2 linked regions of the Arabidopsis thaliana genome follow. Each later gene encodes a partner of the first gene's protein in a complex. Each region holds a gene or a part of one and is shown on either strand. Other genes may lie near its edges. A codon is read from its position in the direction of its gene.

What was found.
Region 2: the proteins of RUP2 (region 1) and UVR8 are in contact, whole or in part, in a crystal structure (PDB 8GQE), measured with the Arabidopsis thaliana proteins. Residues at the interface, in NP_568435.2 of Arabidopsis thaliana: Ser37 (codon at 3,825), Ser38 (codon at 3,822), Ala39 (codon at 3,819), Ser40 (codon at 3,816), Val42 (codon at 3,810), Gly44 (codon at 3,804), Gly59 (codon at 3,759), Ile60 (codon at 3,756), Ser61 (codon at 3,753), Arg62 (codon at 3,750), Lys63 (codon at 3,747), Tyr95 (codon at 3,651), Cys97 (codon at 3,645), Pro99 (codon at 3,639), Lys101 (codon at 3,633), Leu102 (codon at 3,630), Ser103 (codon at 3,627), Tyr121 (codon at 3,573), Asp122 (codon at 3,570), Thr134 (codon at 3,534), Glu138 (codon at 3,522), Asp140 (codon at 3,516), Glu141 (codon at 3,513), Gly143 (codon at 3,507), Gly144 (codon at 3,504), Arg145 (codon at 3,501), Arg146 (codon at 3,498), Trp148 (codon at 3,492), Asp167 (codon at 3,435), Cys193 (codon at 3,357); in NP_201191.1 of Arabidopsis thaliana: Ser25 (codon at 3,969), Arg41 (codon at 4,204), Glu43 (codon at 4,210), Asp44 (codon at 4,213), Asp77 (codon at 4,312), Trp94 (codon at 4,363), Asp96 (codon at 4,560), Phe97 (codon at 4,563), Asn104 (codon at 4,584), Ser105 (codon at 4,587), Ser106 (codon at 4,590), Asp107 (codon at 4,593), Arg146 (codon at 4,922), Tyr201 (codon at 5,478), Trp233 (codon at 5,981), Tyr253 (codon at 6,041), Arg286 (codon at 6,345), Trp302 (codon at 6,393), Lys304 (codon at 6,399), Phe305 (codon at 6,642), Trp337 (codon at 6,871), Arg338 (codon at 6,874), Arg354 (codon at 6,922), Thr356 (codon at 6,928), Trp400 (codon at 7,334), Ser402 (codon at 7,340), Pro403 (codon at 7,343), Ala404 (codon at 7,346), Glu405 (codon at 7,349), Arg406 (codon at 7,352).

Annotation. Positions count from the first base shown.
Region 1 is NC_003076.8:7,999,372-8,009,218, reverse strand, and holds RUP2 (Transducin/WD40 repeat-like superfamily protein), read right to left. Parts: upstream 4,123-9,847; 5' UTR 3,934-4,122; coding exon 2,827-3,933; 3' UTR 2,589-2,826; downstream 1-2,588. Other genes in the region: RPS11-BETA (ribosomal protein S11-beta), read left to right, coding at 1-22, 112-212, 466-610, 704-793, 878-968; PHS1 (dual specificity protein phosphatase family protein), read right to left, coding at 6,625-6,982, 7,065-7,222, 7,322-7,549, 7,667-7,813, 7,959-9,054, 9,537-9,697, 9,802-9,847. UniProt on the Arabidopsis thaliana protein: Functions in association with RUP1 as repressor of UV-B-induced photomorphogenesis mediated by UVR8 and HY5.
Region 2 is NC_003076.8:25,549,348-25,562,483, reverse strand, and holds UVR8 (Regulator of chromosome condensation (RCC1) family protein), read left to right. Parts: upstream 1-2,984; 5' UTR 2,985-3,068; intron 3,069-3,499; 5' UTR 3,500-3,896; coding exon 3,897-3,990; intron 3,991-4,177; coding exon 4,178-4,364; intron 4,365-4,555; coding exon 4,556-4,702; intron 4,703-4,914; coding exon 4,915-4,996; intron 4,997-5,387; coding exon 5,388-5,543; intron 5,544-5,950; coding exon 5,951-6,124; intron 6,125-6,329; coding exon 6,330-6,401; intron 6,402-6,641; coding exon 6,642-6,713; intron 6,714-6,846; coding exon 6,847-6,965; intron 6,966-7,148; coding exon 7,149-7,234; intron 7,235-7,325; coding exon 7,326-7,378; intron 7,379-7,582; coding exon 7,583-7,663; 3' UTR 7,664-8,068; downstream 8,069-13,136. Other genes in the region: PP7 (serine/threonine phosphatase 7), read left to right, coding at 50-544, 633-779, 855-962, 1,053-1,148; AAP4 (amino acid permease 4), read right to left, coding at 9,110-9,766, 9,862-10,001, 10,080-10,294, 10,390-10,483, 10,608-10,841, 10,930-10,990. UniProt on the Arabidopsis thaliana protein: UV-B specific signaling component that acts as a UV-B photoreceptor and plays a key role in establishing UV-protective responses in plants.

The sequences.
Region 1 (9,847 bases):
AGCAACCCAAGGTCTTCCTTAGGTAAATTCATCTGAACAAATCTGAGAATCTTATTACTTCCATTTACAAATCGATTCATATGATTTATGTTTTTTTTTTGTGTGTTTCAGCTCGAAGATATCTGGGAAAGGAAAGAGACCTGGTAAAGGTGGAAACCGTTTCTGGAAGAACATTGGTTTGGGTTTCAAGACTCCTCGTGAAGCCATTGATGGTTTGTTGTTTTTCCTCATACTTCTGATTATCATTTAAGCGAAAGCTTCAAACTTTGATCTGAATAGTTGATTTAGTGTTGTGTATTAGGTGGTTAACAGTATAATCAAAGTTTTTCTGTTGAAAATTAGAGATTTTGTTGTTGGTGTTTAGCTGAATATCACTGAGTGCTGTTTGCTTTGATTAGGTTTGAAGCAAAACCGAAAATTTGAGAGATGTTTTGTAATCTTTGATATGTTTATTGTGTGGAACAGGAGCTTACATTGACAGTAAATGTCCATTCACTGGAACCGTTTCTATCAGAGGACGTATCTTAGCTGGTACTTGCCACAGTGCCAAGATGCAGAGAACCATCATTGTTCGTAGGAATTACCTTCACTTTGTGAAGAAGTATCAACGGTAAGTACATTGTGATGAACCTATGTTCTTGATAGAGCTGCGCAAAGATATAACATCAATGCTGATAAACGATTATCTTAAATTTTTCATTAGATATGAGAAGAGACATTCCAACATCCCTGCCCATGTCTCACCGTGTTTCCGTGTCAAGGAAGGTGACCATGTCATCATTGGCCAATGCAGGTGAGTATTAGGTTGTCTTATACCTTTTTATGATTCAGGTAGTGCCGGAAAACGATTTCTGATTGTTTGTGATTTATGTTGCAGGCCGTTGTCGAAGACGGTTAGGTTCAATGTGCTGAAGGTGATTCCAGCGGGTGCATCTGCCTTTGGTAAAAAGGCCTTCACTGGAGTGTAAGAGTTTTGAAAGTCATGGGAGATTTTGGTTTGATTTTGATTTCGGAATGTTTTAATGTTTTGTTTAAAGATCCCTTTTGTTGGAGACTTTGATTATCACAGACGAAATACAAATCTACGCACTTTCGTTGAACAACTCTACTATATTCAACTCTTGAAATTTGCAAATCTCTCAAAATCACTTGGCTACACAGAAGTTTTTGTAGTTTAAGAAAAAAGAAGTGGACTTGTTTATTTTTGTCAAATGAATTCTTCTATCTGTTACTATCATGGTTATTTGTGTTTTTTTGGGCATACCCTACTAAACCATAAGAACACATTGCATTCAAAAATCTATATTAAAGAAAAGTAGAAGTTGGGTGGCAGCCTCTTTGATCTATGAAAGAGTTATTTTGATCATAACGAAAGACCACCATAGATTTCCTAATGTACCTAAAATGTAGCGATCTTGATGAAGACAACAAGACATAGAAATGGTAAATCAGACGATAACTTATCGATGATCGAAGCTCCTGACCACCGACGAATCTGAGCCTCAGACTACTCTCCAGAAGCGGTTACATATGGATTCTTTCCTAGTATTAGAAATGTATACTTCTTTATGATCTTGTAAGTCTTATCCGGTTGTGTTGTGTTCTATATACCGTCTATTTTTGTACTAAATCACATTTGTTTGCCTGTCTTGAATTGCTCTCACTCACTGCCAGTTTTGTGTTGTTTATTTTTTCTTTTGTTCTGCGATTGAATATAAATATTGAACGCTGCCAAAAAAGAATACACAGTGAACTTGTAAATACAATTATACGAAGAAAGGCGTTACACGTTTGCCTATCTTTAGCAAGTGGTTTTGTGTTGGTCTTGAGTTCATTGATATTTAGTGGATGGTGACAGGACGTGTAAATTAGTATATGGCGTCTCTAAATTCTTGAATTAGCTTTAGTTATTGGCCACGAACCTATTATTTTATATGCACGTATCTACTATCTAGTAAGTGTAGATTAGTATATTCTCTCATGCACTTAATTATTGTTTGAGATCAGCAAATGCATGAAGTAGGCATTTAGGAGTGAAGGACTACTTTGCACAAAACTTTCTTTTATGTGGGGCGACAAATCTAAATTGTTATAACTCTTTCCGTTGCGTAATGAATTTTAGGTCTTCTATATTAAGATTTTCAAAGGTGATTAAAACCATCATTGTGGCACGATACGAAGCACCCACAAAAATATGATTCTTTAAGAAATGTGGTGCACAAATTCTGTTGTTTAAAACGACTTTACTCTTTGAGTTTCAGGACGATTAAACCAGAACATGGCCTTTTTTCTTACTAAAAAAACATAGAATTAAATAAGATGTGATTAAAAAAACAAGCTTACCACATAGCTAGATTGATTAGGCTTTTCTCATTTCATCAACCATTATAGTTTTATTTTTAATAATTCTATTGTGAAGCCCCAAAAAAGCAAAAATAACTAATCTCGTGATGTATACACTAGATAAGGTAGACGAATGCAATAAAATTTATTTTATATCTACCAACAAACTTGTAGCTACTAGCTACTTTTGTGATCAAACACTTGAAGAAAGTCATTCCCAAATATCGTATAATAAATAGGTAATGAAAATTTATGGATTAAAAACTCAAATTTCTGAGTAACAACAAAGATATTGAACAAGTAAAAAATCCTTTATAAATTAAAAAAAAAAACAAACAGATCGTATGCTCTCACAACTCAATCAAAAATCATCTCAAATAGGAAATTAAATTTGAAAAAAAGAAAAGAAATTAAGAAGCATCATCATCATCATCATCATCATCATAATTCATAAAATATAGTAATGATAAATTAAGAAGAACACTATGGTTTTCTTTTGCCCACGTAAACCTGTAATACTCCATCAGATCCTCCAGCCACTAGGGTACACTGGTCCACACCTGATTGCCTCCAACAGACGCTACTCACGAACCGCTTATCCGAACCAGAATTCATACCAACTGGTTCAAACCCATCTACCCAAACCGGCTTCCCCCATCTCCTATCGTACACAAACACCCTGTTGTTTTCCGATCCACAACCAAACAACGCGCCGTTTCTCCACACAGATAACCCCACGAAGTTCCGATTATTCACATGCCCTTCGTACGTGCGAATCACGCGCCCATCCTCCACGCTCCACAGCTTCAAACAACCGTCCGTACCTGCCGTCACCACCGTCCCACCGTCGAGGAACCTCACATACGACACCGTTTTCGTATGACCTTGTAAAGTCAACGCCGGGTCAACGAGTTTCCTTATATCGTAAACGTACCCTTTCCGATCAGCGCATCCGACGGCCACGGCTGGTCCACCGGAAGGATCGAACTCGACGCAACAAACAGCACTCCGGCAAATCCCCGCCGGTCGTACAACACCGACAGATTCTTCCGGCGGACACCTCGGATCCCATACTTGCATAGTCCCGTCATCCGATCCCGACGCGCCCACCGTCGAAGCGCCGCCGTGACGAGTGTAATCTACGCTCCATACACGACGACCACCGTGCTCGTCCCTTTCGAATACCGGCGTCCTCTTCTCAAGATCGTACTCCATCACTACGCCGTCGTAATCTCCCGACCCAATAACCCGACCGCCCGACCCGGGTCTCCACCGGAGACTACTAAGTTTCGCCGGAGTACAGATGTAATATTCGCAGGCGGTGGCTTGATCGACGAAGGAAACTCCGGTACCGGAGACAGCGTTGTTACGTAAAAGAGAAGGGAGGCCGTAAAAACGAATCTTTCTTGAAATCCCGGCGGTAGCGACGATGTTATCAGTGGGATCGAATTCAATAGCTCCGATAACGTCGGAGGCGGAGGAGGAGGAGGAAGATACGACGGTGGAGAGAGAAAGATCCCATTCGTATCTAGCTTCTTCTTGTTGTTGTGCTTGTTCTTGTTGCTGCTTGTGAGGATGAAGAGTGTTCATATGAAAACAGAGTAATGACTGTTGCTTCTGGGGTTTCGGACCAATCGAAAACCAATCCCATTCAAAAGAATTTTTTTTATTAATAGTTTAATACATTAGAATATAATATTCATTTTAATATGGCTTTTTGTTTTTCCCTCAGTAAATAATTGGGTTTATTACTAATCCACGTATGAATTTTTATTCTATGAGTTTATCTATTCCTATGCAAATGTCAGAGAAAGGTCCCATGTGAATTCTATTTCAGGCAAGAAAGTGTGAAGTTTGTTGTCGTGGCTACTTATATAGCCAAACATGGCAAATTCTTGTATTAAATTGATTGACTTGTAGTAGGCGAAAGGACGTTAACTAAATGTTGAATAAAAAAGATAGTAACATTTCGACTACTATCACAATAAATCTTCACTGACCATTAGATTGAGGTTGTTCGTAAATTACAATGATGAGATGATCGTAATGGTAACACCGAAACATTAAAAACCAAAAACAAAACGTCTATTTGTACCACTTACTTTTTCCTACACCAAAACTAACAAAGTAAATAGTTTCTTATCAACGTTTGAATTTTAACTTACTTTGTTGTTGTTTAGTTTTACAATCGTAGTAGGCATTTAGGATTTGATTTGAATTACTTTGTTGTTGTTAGAAAATGTACAACTTTCGACGATGTGATTGAAAAAGACGTAGCATTTTCCTATCTGGTTACTTTCAATTGCTTGATTCACCAAAAAAAATATAAATAAATTATAGCCTTCATGGCTTCAATGCACTTATACAATCTTTTTATTTTACAGAATAGTCAATTTTCTTCTATATCAAATCAACTTTCAAAGCTAGAAAGAGACATATACGCTTAAAATTGCCATATCGTATAGACGAAATCGTTTGATACCAAATACTCCATATGTTCCTAAAAGTTTGATGCTCTAGCTTTTGTTTTTTGTTTCATAAAAATTGATTTTCTAGCATTTTTCTTTATTTTTATTGTCTTATAACACTAAGAAAAATGTTAAAATGATTAAACAATAATTGAGTTCTTAATAAGCGTCAAAATCCAAAACATCAAACTATTATGAATAGAGGGAGTACTAGTTTATCTTGATTTTGTCATTCGGATCAATAGTAGAAATGTTTGGACGGATTCAAAAATTTTCACTTAGATGATCATTTTATATCCGGGATAATAACCACTCACAAATAAGTGGTCAACATGTATAAATATGCCATAACCATTCTCGATAGTTGTCCAATTCCTAATGAAAATCCGAATCATGTAACTTATTTGATTCTCGATATTATATTATTTACGAATGTCGGGTCTAAGAAGCATTTCTATTATATTATTTACAGGTATCAAAAACAGATAACGGTTCTCTATAACCATATAACCAAGAAAAGATAAGCATAGATCACGGGGTTAAAATATCGATATTGATACTACGCGTCCGATAAAGAAGAGCCGGGGCAGATTTTGAGAGAGAGAGAGAGAGGAGAAAAAATCGGTGGTAGGTTTTAGTTTTATGAGAGAATTTTGTGGACAGCAAAGTAAGGACGAGTCATACGTGTGTTATGTACCACCTTTGGTCATTGTCCTCTTTTTCATGTCTCTTCGTTACTTCTCAGCCTCAAGTCTTTTATAACACTTGTGCTCCATGTTTGGACCCACACTGCTTCAAAGAATGGATTCGATTTCCATTTAATGCCATTTATTAATATTTCTCCAAACAACAAAATACGTGAACTACCTAACATATAAAATTTCACCAACTAAAGCGCAATCTTAACGTCCGTTACAAAAGTGGGCTTCTACACTTTTTGAAGAAACAAATTAACTTGTTATTCAAGAAATTGGTAAACAATAAACAAACAAAAATGTAGGAGAGAGGACATCGCTTAAGATATAATATCAGAAATTTTTTTGAAGGAGTTCATTACAAGTTCATTGGTGCTTCTGATGTGCAACTTTCCCATGAAAAAGAAGGCAGAGAATAAAGTGGAGATACAAAAGCAACTTAAAGGATGACTTAAAGGAGAGACTAGTCATTAACAAAGGAATGGATAAATTAATAAGTAGTTGGAAAAAAAGCTAACACCAAGTTGGTCCACAAAGACGATCCACCGTTATCAGATTTCCCACATAGATTTAACATCAAATTAGATTTGCATTTATGTTCCCCAATATTTCAATCAATTTTTACTTTGTCTGCTTTCCATAGCCATTCTTCATACATATACCACCTCATGATTCCTTCATCTTTCTCCGTCGTCTGGCACATCACGCACGTCTTGTACTCCATACAAGTCACAAATGAAAGTTAACAAGAGTTCACTTTCATCAATGTGCACGCCGGAAAGAATGTCAAATTTTTTTAGTTTATTATATCGAAAATGAAAGGGAACTTTTGTTTGATTACGCAATCAATTTTTTAGTTTTATGACATTTTTGGGCCAAATCTTACTTTCTTAACACAAAGCACAAGGGAAAAAGAGTTACAAATGTTACATTAGCTTATTATGACGTTTCCCAGTGACTTCTATTCAGCTTTTCGGCTTTTTATTTACTTGCGTATACAAGTACAAAGATCGTTACAGTAAAAAACAAAACAAAACAGATCAATGTTTTTGTTCAGAGATGTACGATTAGAGAGACTTTAACCGGGACAAACCATAGATAAAACCAAACCGGACTCTCTAACCAGGATGAGATTGGAAAGAATTGGAACTAGCACTTGAGCCACGGCCAGTGCTGAGTTTAAGAGCCTCCAAAGCCTTTTGAATCTCCATGTTCATTGCACTGTCAACACTTCCCGAAGACAGTTTCCTGTGAGATTTCTGGAGATGAAGCTTCAAAGAACTGCTGCTTAGACCTGCGTTCTTTCCACAAACCGGACACACTTTCATTGTCGGTTTCCTCTGTCTCCACTCCATTGATACTTTCCCGTGACATTTCTTGTCGAGGTTTATTAAGATCCGCGCAAATCCATCATTCGGTTGAGCTCGTCTATGAACTTTCCTCAGTTTGCTCCATGCTTCTAAAAGTGTGAGCTTCCTATTTATTGTTCCCACCAGTAAACAAATGAGAACAAGTATTGAAAATTTCCAACAAATTTTATTTGTCCCCAACAACTTACTTTTGGAGCATTAGGTAAGCAAGCACTACTGTTGCGCTTCTACTCCGACCTTCGAAGCAATGAACTAAAATCTTGCCACCAGTTTCTTCGCCATGCTTGATGAAATCGAGAGCTTCTTGAAAGATGCTCTCGATATTTGAGTCTTCATCATCGGTTATCTGGTCAAAGGGAAGACACAAGAAGAAAACGATCATCTTTATAGATGCATTTTTTTTTACCAATTCCTTTTAAGAGACATATAAGACAGGTTCACTTACTGAGAAGTTTTGGTACTCGAAGAGATCCGGGTATTGAGTATCCGATTGCCCGATTTCATTAGCGCACAAACATAGAACATGAGTTATACCTAAATGCTGAAGAGTGTAAATCGACCTTGCAGCCAATCCTCCCCCGATAAAAAGATTTTCTTGTATCATTGATGGTTTCTCTGTATTAGCAGCTTTGCTAATCAATGATATCCTCTCAAGAATATGCTCAAGTCTAACCTGTTATCAAGGAGAATGCAAACAAGAGAGACAATGTTTGAGTTCAGTTGCCAAAAACTATATTATATAATGAAGATCATATTCAGGATAAAAGGAAATAATAAAACTTCATGATACCTTTAGCTCATAAGCATCTGTGCAACTGTTATTATCACTGCCCTCAAAAAAACCAGTGTTGAAACCGTTCTCTTGGCAAAGTTTCATCACTTCATTCCGCAGTGTTTCATTCCACTGGTCTAGTTCTTTATTAGACTCAGCATCAACCTGGACGCACCATGAAAATATTGAGAGTGAAGAAAGAGAAAATGGCTGAGAACTTCCATCCAAGAAGACAAACTTTTTTTTTTATAAAAAATCTGAACCTACTTTACAAATTAGAACATAGTGATCAAAGCTCGAAGCGACAAACCTTTGCAAACTTATGGAAGTCACGGAGCTTTGCTGCCAAACGCTGACTGCTAAGAGATTCTCCACCTTTACCGGATCTTCCGTGCCAACTTTCACGTGACTTAGGCGAAGACCCGTCTTCTTTGTTTTCTGAATTTGGTGTCCTAGGAACTGATTTTTGCATATCTGACTCACTGTGATCAGAGCTGTTATCACTAGGCACCCGATCTTTTGAGGGAGATGGATAATGATTCACCTCATGCCCATGAGTATGTGAAGGTGACTCAGGAACAGCAAAGTCTTCTCTGTCAAAATCTGCACACATTGTTTTGTCCATCATACTAAAAAATGCCCGAAGCAACACATCTAATTTCTGATGAAGGGTGACAAGGAAGATGTGAAACTCTTGCAAATCCCTGAGACCAGCTCGGAAACCATTTCGAAACTCGCGTACAACTGGTGTTACTACAGATCGAACATTAGATGTTTCTTCACCATCTTCTGCCTGTGGATATCCTAAACTTCCTTCTGTTATTTCATGTAACAAATTCGAAGAATATTGGCTACTATTGAGGAGTAACTCAACTAATCTTGGATAAATTTCTTGGTCGCTTGCCCGTTTTCCAGCAGGAGGCCGCCGTGGAACACCCGAGTCTATGGCAACGAGGTGAAAATCGGCAGCTACTGATCTATCAGACATTGGACTCATTAAACCAGTATCATATGATCTAGGTGATTCCGTTATATCAGAAAAATCAGAAGCCTGTGAGACCAACATTTGATCACTGATACTCAACCTGGATCTGCTATCTACGGAAGAAGCTCTTCTTTCCCTTTGAATGGATCTATAGTCCTTTGGATGGTACCGTTTGATGGCGGAATCAAAAGCTTCATCAAATGAACATTCATGATGCTTTGCAGAAGACACAATTCTGTCTGTCAGTAACAGATTTGCCGGGTTGCCACGCCATCTCAGCTGACGACACGGTAATCTGTCTTCATTCCTAATTACTAGATCTAACACCAAGATTCTCCCTAGAGCTGCAGCAGCTCTCTCTGCTTTTTCTTCAGTTTCAAAACTACTCATGCTCTCCAGCATTGGACATCCATGAACATAACTGTAATCACATATAGAGAATCCTGGGCTAAGAAGAGGGGTTCTATACAAACATCACATTAAAAATTGTAAATTTGAAAGTGCCTACATGATCCTATTAGGTAAGACTAGATTTTACATAATCCTATTAGGTAAGACTAGATTTCTGTTCAGCTATTTCTCTCATATTTATTATCATTTAAAGCAAGATTAGATTTCTGTTTAACTGTTGTTATCAAATTTTATCCAATAAAATAATTCCACCTCATATTTGTAATTTAGATCTTTCTTATTTTATAATACAATTTTTATATCTAATAACATAACATCTTTTATTTTTCTTAAAATATATTATCAAATGGTATATTCATATTTCAAATGGTTTACTATCATCTAGTTAAACACTAATGCAAAGGAACAAAAAAACTGTCAACATTATGCTGCTGGTCCAAGTAAAAAATGGAGAAAAGTGATAAAGAATAAAGATGAATCTTGTGCTTTCACCTCATTAAGAGAAGACAACGGCTGAGCTCAAGGGCTTCCAGAAGTTCTGAACATGTCATTTCACCAACCTCGTCCCCCTCCGAAGTCGCTTTAGCTTGTGCTTTTTCAGTGGCTTCTTTGATCAGTGTCCACTCAGGATTACAGCTGTGAATTACTCTAGCCTGTCGCATGATGATTACTCATTACTTGAAAATTCTAGAAAGAAAGTGAAATGAGCAAAACCATTACTACATTTTTAAAAAACTACAAGAAAGAAAAGAAGCACCTGCGGAATCTGCACCCCTAGCCACTTGGAAAACTCATAACCTAGA
Region 2 (13,136 bases), about 18 Mb from region 1:
TGGCTCAAGTCTTAGTATTCTTAAAGCACATATCTTTTTGGTTGTTTAGGTTTTGATGCCGGACAGAGTCTACCTACTCCGTGGTAATCATGAGTCAAAGTATTGTACATCTATGTATGGTTTCGAGAAGGAAGTGCTTACAAAATACGGAGACAAGGGAAAACATGTGTACCGGAAATGTTTGGGTTGCTTTGAAGGTCTTCCTTTGGCTTCCATAATTTCTGGACGTGTTTATACAGCACATGGAGGGCTTTTCCGCAGCCCAGTCTTGCCTAAGCGAACAACAAGGGGGAAAAAGAACCGTCGGGTAGTTCTTCTGGAACCTGAGCCGAGCTCAATGAAACTCGGTACCTTAGATGAGTTGATGCAAGCTCGAAGATCAGTTCTTGATCCTCCTTGGGAAGGTTCAAACTTGATACCAGGAGACGTTTTATGGTCTGATCCTTCAATGACTCCGGGCCTTTCACCAAATGAACAGAGAGGCATTGGTCTTCTTTGGGGTCCCGATTGTACAGAGGATTTTTTGAAGAAATATGAACTGAAGGTGACACCAAAGTAGATATTGATGCTTGTTTGCTTCCCAAATACTGATATGGATGATTGGATCAAATGTTTTACACTTATTGGTGCAGTTGATCATCAGATCACATGAAGGTCCAGATGCTAGAGAGAAGAGAACTGGTCTTGGTGGAATGGACAATGGATATACAATAGACCACAATGTCGAATCCGGAAAGCTTATCACTATTTTCAGTGCACCTGACTATCCGCAATTCCAAGTATGTATTTTTACGCCTTTGGTATTTGCATTTTCTAAAGATATGCGTTAACAATCATTTTTGTGTGTGGTGTAGGCAACAGAAGAGAGGTACAAAAACAAAGGAGCATATATTATTTTGCAGGCGCCTGATTTCTCGGATCCTCAATTTCATAGTTTCGAAGCTGTTAAACCGCGACCAAAGGTAACTAACTTACGATGCTGATAATGAACCAACGAGTTGTTTTACTTCTTTGATACACATACATAGCGACATCGGTTTTTAAATGTGCAGGCGCATCCATATTATGACTTTGAAAATGTCATTGATTCTGATGATGAGATGGATAAGTCAGCAATGGACACCAATAACGAACAACCAAATAGCTGACCGAAGCTGAAAAGGAGTATCTTGAATTGATGTTTTTTACAGTTGTTGTGATTGCTCATTATTTGCAAACATAAAATGGAATCAAATGTAAAGAAAAGAGATGAAGAAAATCATTTGTAGAATTCACATTTAAGTTATGTATGGAAGATGAAGAAATAAGAACCATCTTAAATCTCATGTAGTTCTTAGTTTCTTGGTTCCTACACGTCTTATTTAAACCTAAATCTTGTAAGATTTTGCTCTGTTTTGTCAGGTTAGCCTAAATCTTGAGAGGTCAAACTTGCAGTAACTTTCATTGTATAGAATTGCTTTTAACTGAATGATAAATCGAGTAGTAGATTAGTCCAATGGAAGTTTGTGGATCAAGTTATGTGTCTGTCGGCATTATAGTTTTCCTTTGAAATATTGACACATTACTAGAATCTTATCCAACAAAAAATTGTGTGGTTATGAAAATCCTAAGTAACGAGACAGCTTATTAAATGCCGAATTTGGTAGCAATTTGTTCAGATGAATGTATGTCTTCTTGTAAAAGACAGTATGAAGTGGAGGTTGATGCTAACTATCTTATGGTTCCTTATTGCACTTTGAAGCATTTATTGCAATTGTTTTCGGTTTTTTCTCTTGAGTGGGCTAAACTAATAATGGTCTGTTCTTTCTCTAAAGAGAGAAGAATTCGACAGGAGCGTGAAGCATCTTCATTCGCAAATATAACACATTAAAGCTACCTCTAGCATCATCTGTGTGATTCTCTCCAAGGTCATTCGTTGTCTGTCACGGGGCATCTCAAGTAATAAAGCTTAAAGTTAACTGTCTTTTCAGCCAAATAGTTTCATCATCTAAATATTCACATGATCTTCCATATTTCATCACCGATTATGGTTACAACATTTTTGCAAACCCTAAAATTTGTGTTATCGCCAAACTTGACCCTTATACCGGAACCCATGTGGGTGGGTGTTGATTTTTACTGTTTTGTAATTTGTTCATCGACAATCATTGACATGTACTCACCGCAATGTTTTTTCTTTCCTAGTTTCATGTGCATATATGTCTCTAAACAGTAATTGTTTAGCACTTCATGTCAAGCTTAAATTATTATAGGTGTCTTATCTTGTCTCTCTAGTATTTTCTGTTGAAGTCATGTGCATTAAATTGTATATAGTACTTCCAATGGCTTTCATATAATTTCCATTTTTCCACAAATTGTTCGTAATGATGTTTATTTAACAAGATTATAAAAGATAATGCAACAAATTTGTGTGATGAATGATGAGATGAACCCATTTGAAAGAGGTCGCAACAAATGTCAACATTAGAGACCATCTTGATCTAGAGTTTTGTCTCGTTGACTTTAATGCCAAAATTGGACAATACATATAATGCATGTATCAGGCAATGCAAAAATATCTTCATTCATTTAATTTTCTTACTATAATAGATGTCACAACTTCCCTCACTGACAAGCATATAATGTTGGTTTTATCTCAATGTAAACAACCTTTTAGTTTCACATAAATGTTAGGTCGAGCGAGGTGATATATTCGTTCCAGATCGGATGAAACAAGTAATTCATCGATGTTACCTTTATCCATATGTATATGTAAGATTATGGGTTTTAGGTAATCTAGTAAGTACTACTAAGTAGTATCCGTATGTAATTTTTTATTTATTTTTATCCGTTATGTATAATTTCTTTGGCCGTTTTCGCAAAATCTATATTTGGATGTTTTAGATCGTGAATTGATATATCTTAATTTGAATATTTAGGTATTCATATATTTTGAATCTATAGTTGACCTGTTGACCATGTATTTTGATTTGAATATCTCGCTCGATCGATAGAAGATTTTTTTTTGTTTTTGTTTTGTTGATAGTAGAATCTTCAAGTTGTAATTTAACAAAAAAAAAAAAAATCAAGTTGTAAGTAGACCGTATATCTGTATATTTCCATATGTAGAACCATGCATTTTGAATAATTGAATAAAATAACATGTAGCAAGACGTATCTTCATATGATAATCAGAATCATAATAAAAAGACAAACTGTACACCATATTGTAATCCAGGTTTAATTTGACCTCTTTGAAAAACTAAAATAGCTGAACTGAATATTTATAACTAAAAAGACAAATTGGATATGTCACTTTGGACTATGAAACTCAGAATTTTTTTTGACTAACGTGTATACTTTCACACGTGTGCATGACTAAAAACATATGATTAGGCTCTTACGATCTATGCGCCTTACACCTGTGAATGATGAACACATAAAACACAAGTTACGATCTAGAATGTCATGTGTACTGGCTTAAATCTACTTATGTGAAGAGGTAAATGAAATGGTCAAGAAACAAAAAAAAAAAGAAATGGTGAAATTATGAAAGTATAAAACTTTACCGGTGAGGTCCGTATTTGGATTTATTAAGTGAAGAGGGACCCTTTTGCAATTAAAGCCTGTACGACAAAAAAGAGATTTACTGTACGGTTAAAACAAAAAATAAAAAAACCAGCAAAAGTAAAAAAGTCAAAAAGCAGATATATGACATGTGCAAATCTCCATCGCGCCTTTATTACCATCTACCGCTTTCTCTCTCTGTCTTTCCTTGTTCAACCCTCGAGAGATTACGGATAGTGAAAGAGAAGCTACAAAATTTCCCAATTTATCAAAAAATAGAAATTTCTTACTTTTTTCAAAATTCATTTCTCCCCAAAAAAAATATCTTGTGAAAACTGCAACTGTGATCCATGGCGGAGGATATGGCTGCCGACGAAGTTACGGCTCCTCCTCGTAAGGTTCTTATCATCTCCGCTGGTGCTAGCCACTCCGTCGCTCTTCTCTGTACGTCTCTCTTCTTCTTCGCTGTTTTTTTTCCTTTTCTATTACGGACTCAAATAATCACCGGAATTGTGAAATCCGCTGCTTTAGTAGGCTGTGCTCTTCGCGAATTCTCTTGATCTGGCCTTTAATCGAGTTTCCCTTACTTTCGTCGTCTACTAATGAGTAGTTTTATGTTTTGATTTTGTAGCTGGTGACATTGTTTGTTCTTGGGGTCGAGGAGAGGATGGACAGTTAGGTCATGGCGATGCAGAGGATCGACCTTCTCCGACTCAGCTTAGCGCTTTAGATGGCCACCAAATTGTTTCCGTTACCTGTGGTGCTGATCACACTGTTGCTTATTCACAATCAGGCATGGAAGTCTACAGTTGGGGATGGTTTGTTTCTCATCATTATCTTCTTCTTTGCTGCTGAATCAATTGCTCTTCAGTCTGTTTGATATATTCGGGATGAGATGATGACCACTAGTTCCTCTCTAGATTTTTGTGTAGAAAACAGTAACTAATTATACACTCATTTGCACATATTTTAAGCCTCGTGTTCTCTAACCTTTATGTGTACTTTGCAGGGGTGATTTTGGGAGATTAGGCCATGGTAACTCAAGCGACTTGTTTACTCCGCTACCAATCAAAGCATTGCACGGTATTCGGATCAAGCAGATTGCTTGTGGGGATAGTCATTGTTTGGCTGTCACTATGGAAGGAGAGGTCCAGAGGTATTTTCTCTTTGTTATTGTTCTTCTCCTTATGTGCAATCATTTACAGTTTACATCTCAGCTCAATTAGATGAATTTCATCGGAATTTGATAATGTCGATTGCGTCCTGTGTCATTTCTATATATCTTGGTTATTGTGTACATTGCCTTTTAAACGTTTTGTCTGTCTTGTCTTGTTTTCCAACATATCTCTTTGACTTCTGTTTATACAGTTGGGGCCGCAACCAGAATGGTCAACTTGGTCTGGGGGACACCGAAGATTCTCTAGTGCCTCAGAAGATTCAAGCCTTTGAGGTTTGTATCACTAAATATTCTTCTAACATCTTTTTTCGTTGTAGTTTCCTCAACTTGCCAAATACTATGCTTCAGAATTGGGTCAATGTTGGGTCTATTTCTGCAACTTGATCTTCTTAAACATATGACTGTTACTAGTTAAGGGTCCACATCTGGTGAAGATGTCTTCAGAATCATAATTTAAGTTACATAATTTTAGGAGTGGTAGATACTAAATTGGATGTCTATGTGTTATACTATCTGCAAAACACAGATAGAAGGTAGGATCTTATTGATAATTTATCGGACTAGGTAAACTAGAAGATTAAGTGATTAGAGACCCTGAGTTTATGTTGTTAGTTTCGCTGATCTCCATTGTTACATCAACACTTTAAACTTGTAATGGGTGCAGGGAATACGAATCAAAATGGTTGCTGCTGGTGCAGAACACACTGCTGCAGTTACAGAAGATGGTGACCTCTATGGATGGGGCTGGGGAAGATACGGAAATTTGGGATTAGGTGACCGGACTGACCGCTTAGTTCCTGAAAGAGTTACCTCTACTGGTGTAAGCTAGAAGACTCTTGTTCTATAATTTTTGTTTAAGCACCTGCTACTTGTTTAAACTTGCATTTGAAGTTCAGTATACGTGAAAGAAATCGTGAATAGCTCAATATGCACTGCACTATTCTGGATTAGCTGTCTATATTGATGGAGTCACACGTATATGCAGTCTAATTTCAGTTGGTGGGTGTCAGGGAAGTGACCATAAAACTTTTAGAATGATCAAAGTTTGGTATCCTGAATCTGCACAGTTCATGAAATGAAATTTAGTTCATATAACATTGATATCACGCAACCTCACCTTTTTACCAACTTCTATTTCTGCATTTTAGTCCCTCAATTTTTTCCTTAATTCTCTTTTCATTTCGACTCACTTGACTCTCGTTTTCCTGGTTGTAACTACAATTTTAGGGTGAGAAAATGTCAATGGTTGCTTGTGGATGGCGGCACACAATATCAGTTTCCTACTCTGGAGCATTGTATACTTATGGATGGAGCAAATATGGACAGCTAGGACATGGAGACTTGGAGGATCACCTTATTCCTCACAAACTGGAAGCACTGAGCAACAGTTTTATCTCCCAGGTTTCACTTAGGCCTTATAAATCTGTCTTGAAATACAAATTTGTACATCTGAAATATCCAACATATGGGATAGCAATAATATGTTTTTCGAAAACTTTCTGACAACTATTACCTACTGAAGAAGACTGGCTTCATTGTATGTACTTCTGTTGGTTTTCTTCTTCTGTTCGACATCTTTTGGACTTACTGTTCGTTTCTTTTCCAGATTTCGGGAGGTTGGAGACATACAATGGCATTGACTTCAGATGGAAAACTATATGGATGGGGTTGGAATAAGGTCTAGAATGTCTTGCTTTTTTTTTTTTTTTTTCTGGCCTATATTTCGTAGAAATGTATAGAACACCTATTTTCATCTACACATTCACTGATATTTGCATTTAGTTGCTTTATGCTGTTAAGGAGTGATATGCATTCACTTAGATGTTATTTTAAGAAAACAACAATGCATATATTGGGTAACTTTAGTAACTCATCTTGAATAAAACAAACTTCTAATTGTCTCTCTTTTAGCCTGCAGTTTGGACAAGTAGGAGTCGGCAATAATTTAGATCAGTGTTCTCCTGTGCAAGTGCGATTTCCCGATGATCAGGCATGTTATCCCTAAAAAAGTTTAACGAGAAAGCTCGTCCCAATGTTTTACCGGCTATATAATCATATTAATAAGTTCATGTCTCAATTCGCTGTTTTCTTTTCCAATGCACACATATTGTGGAATTTCACAGAAAGTAGTTCAAGTCTCATGTGGATGGAGACATACCTTGGCTGTCACTGAAAGAAATAACGTGTTTGCTTGGGGTAGAGGTACAAATGGACAGCTCGGCATTGGAGAGTCGGTTGACAGGTAAAAGTGTGATCATCTAATCGCTCATGAATCAATGTTTTCCACTTAACATATCTTGGTGTTACGAACAGAATATGAAAATTGGCCAGTAAGATCGTTGTTTCCACCAAAATCATTGCTTTTCAATCCCACTCACTACCTATCTTGATAATGTGAAATGGATATTTGGTTTGGTGTTTATAGGAACTTTCCCAAGATTATAGAGGCACTCAGCGTCGATGGAGCAAGTGGACAACATATAGAATCTTCTAATATCGATCCATCTTCAGGTATTTAAACAATACCACTAGTTAAAACGATTTCTGTAAACGACTCAACAAGTGATTAAATGATTCAACTTTTGCATTGCTTTGTTACCAGGGAAAAGCTGGGTGTCGCCTGCAGAGAGATATGCAGTTGTTCCTGATGAAACGGTAAGCCTTAATTTTGTTAATTCTACTAAACTTTATATCCAATACGTAAACTACAATGAAAGCAAATGGCACAATTATATCGGCTTAGAACCAGATTTTACTGATTAATCATTGCTGCACAATTATACCTTGCTCTGTCAAGATCGTGGATTGTTTTCAAGGATGAAATCTATGTGTGTGATTTTGAATTTGGTTGTGTGTTAGGGCCTAACGGATGGTTCAAGCAAAGGTAATGGAGGTGATATCAGTGTTCCACAAACTGATGTCAAGCGTGTACGAATTTGAGCCTGAGTCAATTCCGTTTTTTTTTTACTTCCGGTTCTTCCGTTGGATTCGAAGGTTTTTCAGTGATCTCTTTTGGGTTGAGGTTTGTACTAAGAGTACGTCTGTCTAGTTTGGGATTGTACTTTTTGTTGTTGTTGTTAGTTTGTAACTTGTGATGCTTCCCTCCCCCTAGCTCTCTTATTACATGGGCGTTGTAAACTGTGTGTACTACTACTACTAGTCTCTAGGGTATGTACTTTTTTTTTCCTCACCATAATAATACCTTCTGGTTCTATATCTTTCATTTCTTAAAAAGTTTTCTGTTTTTTCCTTCAACCATTATACAACTTATGTTTTAAGAGAATTTTCTTTTTGTCTTATTTTTTTACCGCCTATGTTTGAATTCAAATATGATATGATTGATAGTGACCCGCTGAGTTTTAGAGTATTTGAATTTTGGAAAAAAAAACAATTTTATCAATCAAGATCAAAACTTAAGAAGAACAGTGATCACAGATTAACAAGTTGAACTTCTCCTTTTTTATCAAAGTGTGAAGCGCAGATGAGAACGAGAGTAGTATGGGTATTTTAGTTTACAACTTTTGGGTAGGTTAGCCTTTAGGCCCAACACACAATGCATGTTTCGTATTTCTATATATTCTAGTCTCAATACGAAGAGTCTAGAATACGAAGAATTTCTAATGGACTAAGTGATGGATATGTCAAAAAGAAAAAAAATTGATCCTTCATCATCCGCCAACCTAGTTATGCTGCCTAATATATTTGGCGTTTAGTGAAAATTTTCTATTGGGTAAAACTTATGTGGGTGATTCTCTTTAAAGCAAAACCATCCATATTGCTCTTTTAGTGTTTCTCTTTATGTGTCGGGTTTCTTTCCCTTAAATTATTCCAAATCGATGTCACTTAGATTCGATTCCATGTTATTACCTTTTTCAGTTCCAAGTCGCCATCTTTCAAACTTTCTAATGATTCTTGATGTTTCATCCACGAGTCTTTCATTCCCACCACTTTCTTGCTTTTTTAATTTCGGGTAAATATTACTCCATATATCATTTCGCCAATCTTCTTATATTCACATACACTTATTCATACATTACGATTATCTCATGGCATTACTCCGGCAATGGACTATACCTTATGTTCAAGTTGTTTTTTCTTAAAAAACCTTTTTTCATAAATCTATGTTAATCTATAATTCATTTTCTACATAAATCTATTAGTATGTTTATTGTCTTTAAATCCATATCTGGTTAACAAACTTTCAATAAACACCACATCAATTATAGATTGAGAACACATTATGTATATAAATTACGCAAGATAAAAATTATACGAAACGAAGAACTTTTACATTATTCACATTTCCCCAAATGAAATATATTAAAATTTATATCTTTTGTTTTTTTCTCCACCACCTTCTTCTTCTTCATCATCATCATGGTTTGTTTAGTAAGTAGTCTTGAACGGCTTGTAAACCTTAAGGTCTAGCATTACTCCGGCGATGGAGCCAACTCCGGCGACCAACGTGATCATCAAACAACCACAGCTCAACATCTGCAGACAAACCCACTTCATACTCCATCTCTCAACCTTCCTCTGTCTTATATACATCTCCACCGGAAAGTAAACCGTCAAAGGCCAAAACCCTAACGCACCTAAAATCCCTACGACGTCGTTGAAAAACGGCATAAGCATGGATATCACAGTGGTCAAAACCACAAACCCGCTTCGGTAAACTGCTCTGAAAACGTTGACTTTGTACGGTGACCTAAAACCAGGGATTCGGATTTCGTATTCCTTGGTCACCAAGTCACTGTCGGGAAACCTAGCGGCAGCTTGTTTCTCAATAAAGGCGAAGATGGGCTGAGCAAAGACTTGATAAGCTCCTACAAGGTGGATAACTATGGCAGCGTTAGCCACGTCAAGGAGCCAAAACGGATTGTAGAAACCAAAACCGGTTAAGAGGTTTCCCGGTGCTTTATCTCCGAAGGCGGCATAGCCCATACAACCACATAGCATGTAAAATGTCGTTGTAACAGCGATGCTGATTCTTGTGGCGATCTTCATCGTTTTTGATTCTGCTGGTGGAGATCTTACAGTGTCCTAATGAAAACCCACATGCACCCCAAAAAAAGGTCAGAGATTTTGTAAACTCGTATAGAAAACAGATTCCATATTGGTTAGGTTCTTTATCTTACCTGAATTTCAATAAGAACAACAGAGTATGAATAAGCAAAGGCAATGTCTCCAAGTGCTTGAAAGGTTCTCCATATTTTTTGGGTCTGAGTCACTGCGCCGATGCTAATTCCGGTGAGACTTCCCTTGACAACTCCATTTGCTGAAACACATTAGAGTTAGTTAAACCCTCTGCTTTGTTGATTACTGCGAAGAGTCTTACAAAGTAATTTTCTTTTACCCGCGACTTGAATGATTCCGAGAGCTAAACCGATTGCAGAGTATGTGAAGGACATGATAGCAGCGACAATGGAGAGCCACCAAATCTGGTCAAAATCTTTGATCTGAGAGAGCAAGATCTCGGTCACACCAAACATGATCATGTATGGATTGCTCGACATGTGACACGGGTTTTTCCCTCCGCTCTCGTGGAAACAGTTGGACCTCTTGATCGCCCTGAAACTCGATCCGATACAACCAAATTTTTAAGGCCTTTTATCTCATTATATGGTGTTCCAAAATAAACTAGTTTGTGAGAAAGAAAGACTCACATCATACTTATAGATGCTGCGATTGTGTACCCGACCGTGATACCAAACAGATTCAAATACTGAATCAGCCCACAAATCTTGAACCTAAAGCCACCTGCCAGAAACAGAGCATTTCAGAACACAAAACAGAGTAAAACAGAACAAAACAGAGAGAAACAACCCAAAAACAGAGCAATCAAAGCATATGCGGAGGAAAACAGAGAGACGATAGTTGATACCTAGGATTGATCGGACAGCGTCCATGTAAGTATAGTTTCTCTTCCCAGAGACAGGATCTCCGGTTCTGTAGCAGTCGCTAAGAAGCGTGGAAGAGTAGTAAGTGACAAAAGAGAACAACAACATCACTGTAGGACCTGCGATCCAACCGAGTTGACCTATAGCCCACGCAAGCGATAGAACACCAGATCCAATCACGGCGGTTATGATATGCGCACTCGCGGTCCAAACCGTCCCTGAAACAATCGCAGTTTTTCTCTTTGGATCATTCATTTCAAAGGTGTAAACTGTCAAGTAACCAACAAGGGGATTTAAATTTTTTACCTGAACGTTTAAGCCGGCCATCGTCATCAAAACATTTGAAAGCTGGCCGTGGAACATCCATCTGTTTTTAGTGAGAAACCAAAGTTATGAGGATTCACTAGTTTCAAAAAACGGTTAAAACTAACGGATAATGGCGGTTATAGTTTTCTATAAACCAAACAAAAAAAAAACTTGAAAGAGGGAGAGATCAGTTATAGTACCTTCTCTTATTGAGCTCTAAGAGATTAGACAAAGCTATGCAGAAAATTAAACCCCTCAAAAGAATGCAATGCAGAAAAAAAGAAAGAAATGCAAAAGAGAAATGAGGAGATGGGTGGTGAGAGAGCAGTTGCTGCTGCATTTTGAGTGTTTTGGGTCATCATCTTTTATAAGCCATCAAAAGTGGAAGAATCTTTCTCTAATTTCTTTGATAAATAATTATTATATATATACAGGTCAGATATGTAAAAAGTTCGGCTACATAGGCCATACACATTTATATCATTGTTTAAAAGAATAATGTGGGTAGTAGAGTATCGCCCAAATTTATATATGAGCCGATTTAAAAAAAACAAACACTTTGTAGTATTCTTCTCCCATCTCTCATTCTTTGTGTGTGAGTGATTTTACGTGTACTCTTCTTCTCGAGTGTTTTATTCTTTTAGCATCCATTAATCCCATGGCTCTATAGATCAAACATTACGGTTCTTGATTGACAACCTGAATCAAGATTTCGAATACTTAAGTCCTCTACAAAGTTAATACTTAATAGTGTATAAATGATTTCATTATCCGAATTCGAAGATCCTATATAAACATCCACAGATCTTAAACATCTGTATTTTATGTCTTTCAAATGATTATGGAGTTTAAATAATATGAACTAGCTAGAAACAAATACTGATGTAAACATCAAAAAGCGAATAAATTTGGCTCTTTGTCTAAGCGTTCAATATATAATTTTTGAGAGGTTTTTGCATGGTTTTGTTTTCTCTCTATTCTTTAGTGAAAGATACGTAAAATGAAAGAGAACCAAATTCTTGTTCTACGCCTCCATACCTTTTGGATTCGATCTAATCACTCATGTATCTTAATTAACAAAATTCGTTCCTACTTCAAAATGCTACCGAGTCCTAGGCTGTATTAAGAATGAATGAATATTTATATACTAAATTACGAAGGCATATGGAAAATTTAGGTTTTTGTATTTAAGTTATATATATAGAAAGCATATATTCTGCATCAACGCATTATAATTTGATATGTTCGTTGATTTCAAATTAGTATGTTGGAAATTTCTTCGAACATGCATACTATGTATAGTATTTGATACGGTTCATAAAGGGAGGGACATATACTTTATAGTAAACTGAATAATAATAAAAAGAATGAATGGTTTGATAATCAGAGATGCAAATAATCTATATTTCGGTTAAAACAAAATTTGTTTGATAGTCGTCGCAGAATTCCGGATCGAAGTCCAAATTAATCTCTAAGGCTTGAAATTTTTAGATACACTTAGATATTTCAAAGTGTTAACAGTGAAAAACAATGATTGAAATCGCATTGAAAATTTGAAATGATTCGAATTCGATCTCCTAAGTCCTAACCCCATAATGATTTATTTTTTAATCATTGGACTACCATGAGTTGGTAAACTTGGTATAGAAGATTTTTTTTAAATATATAAAACTGAAATTTATAAAGACCAGTTGCATACTATTTTTATTTCAGTAAGAATAAGAGAAAAGAAAAAGAGAAGTTAATTGTCAATTGTAGATTTCAGATATGTTTGGTTTATCTTTTAGGTGAGTCAAAATATTCTTGGTTTAAAGGAACAAAATGTAAAGCAAAAATGCATGATGAGAAGAGAGAATCGAATTTGTCATGCAAGTGCTATTATCTACCATTATAATTTCTAAAGAGTATCTTTGAACACATTCAAAATCTCGTTTTCAATTCCAAGATTCTTAATTTTGAGTGTGTTTTTCTTACATTCTAAAATGTGTAATATTTTAGTTTTAATTCGAAACGAGATTCATGAACGGAATATATTGTTTGGGAAACATGAGGTTCTAATTTAAAGTGAAGATGGTCTTTAGACCTACAAGAGTTAGGTAGTTACGTGACTCTTTTTACACAGAATTTTGGCTTCTTGTTTCACCTACACGGATCTAACATTATCTAATTAGGGCAAACTTTGCATACTTAGAACCCTTTCTATAACA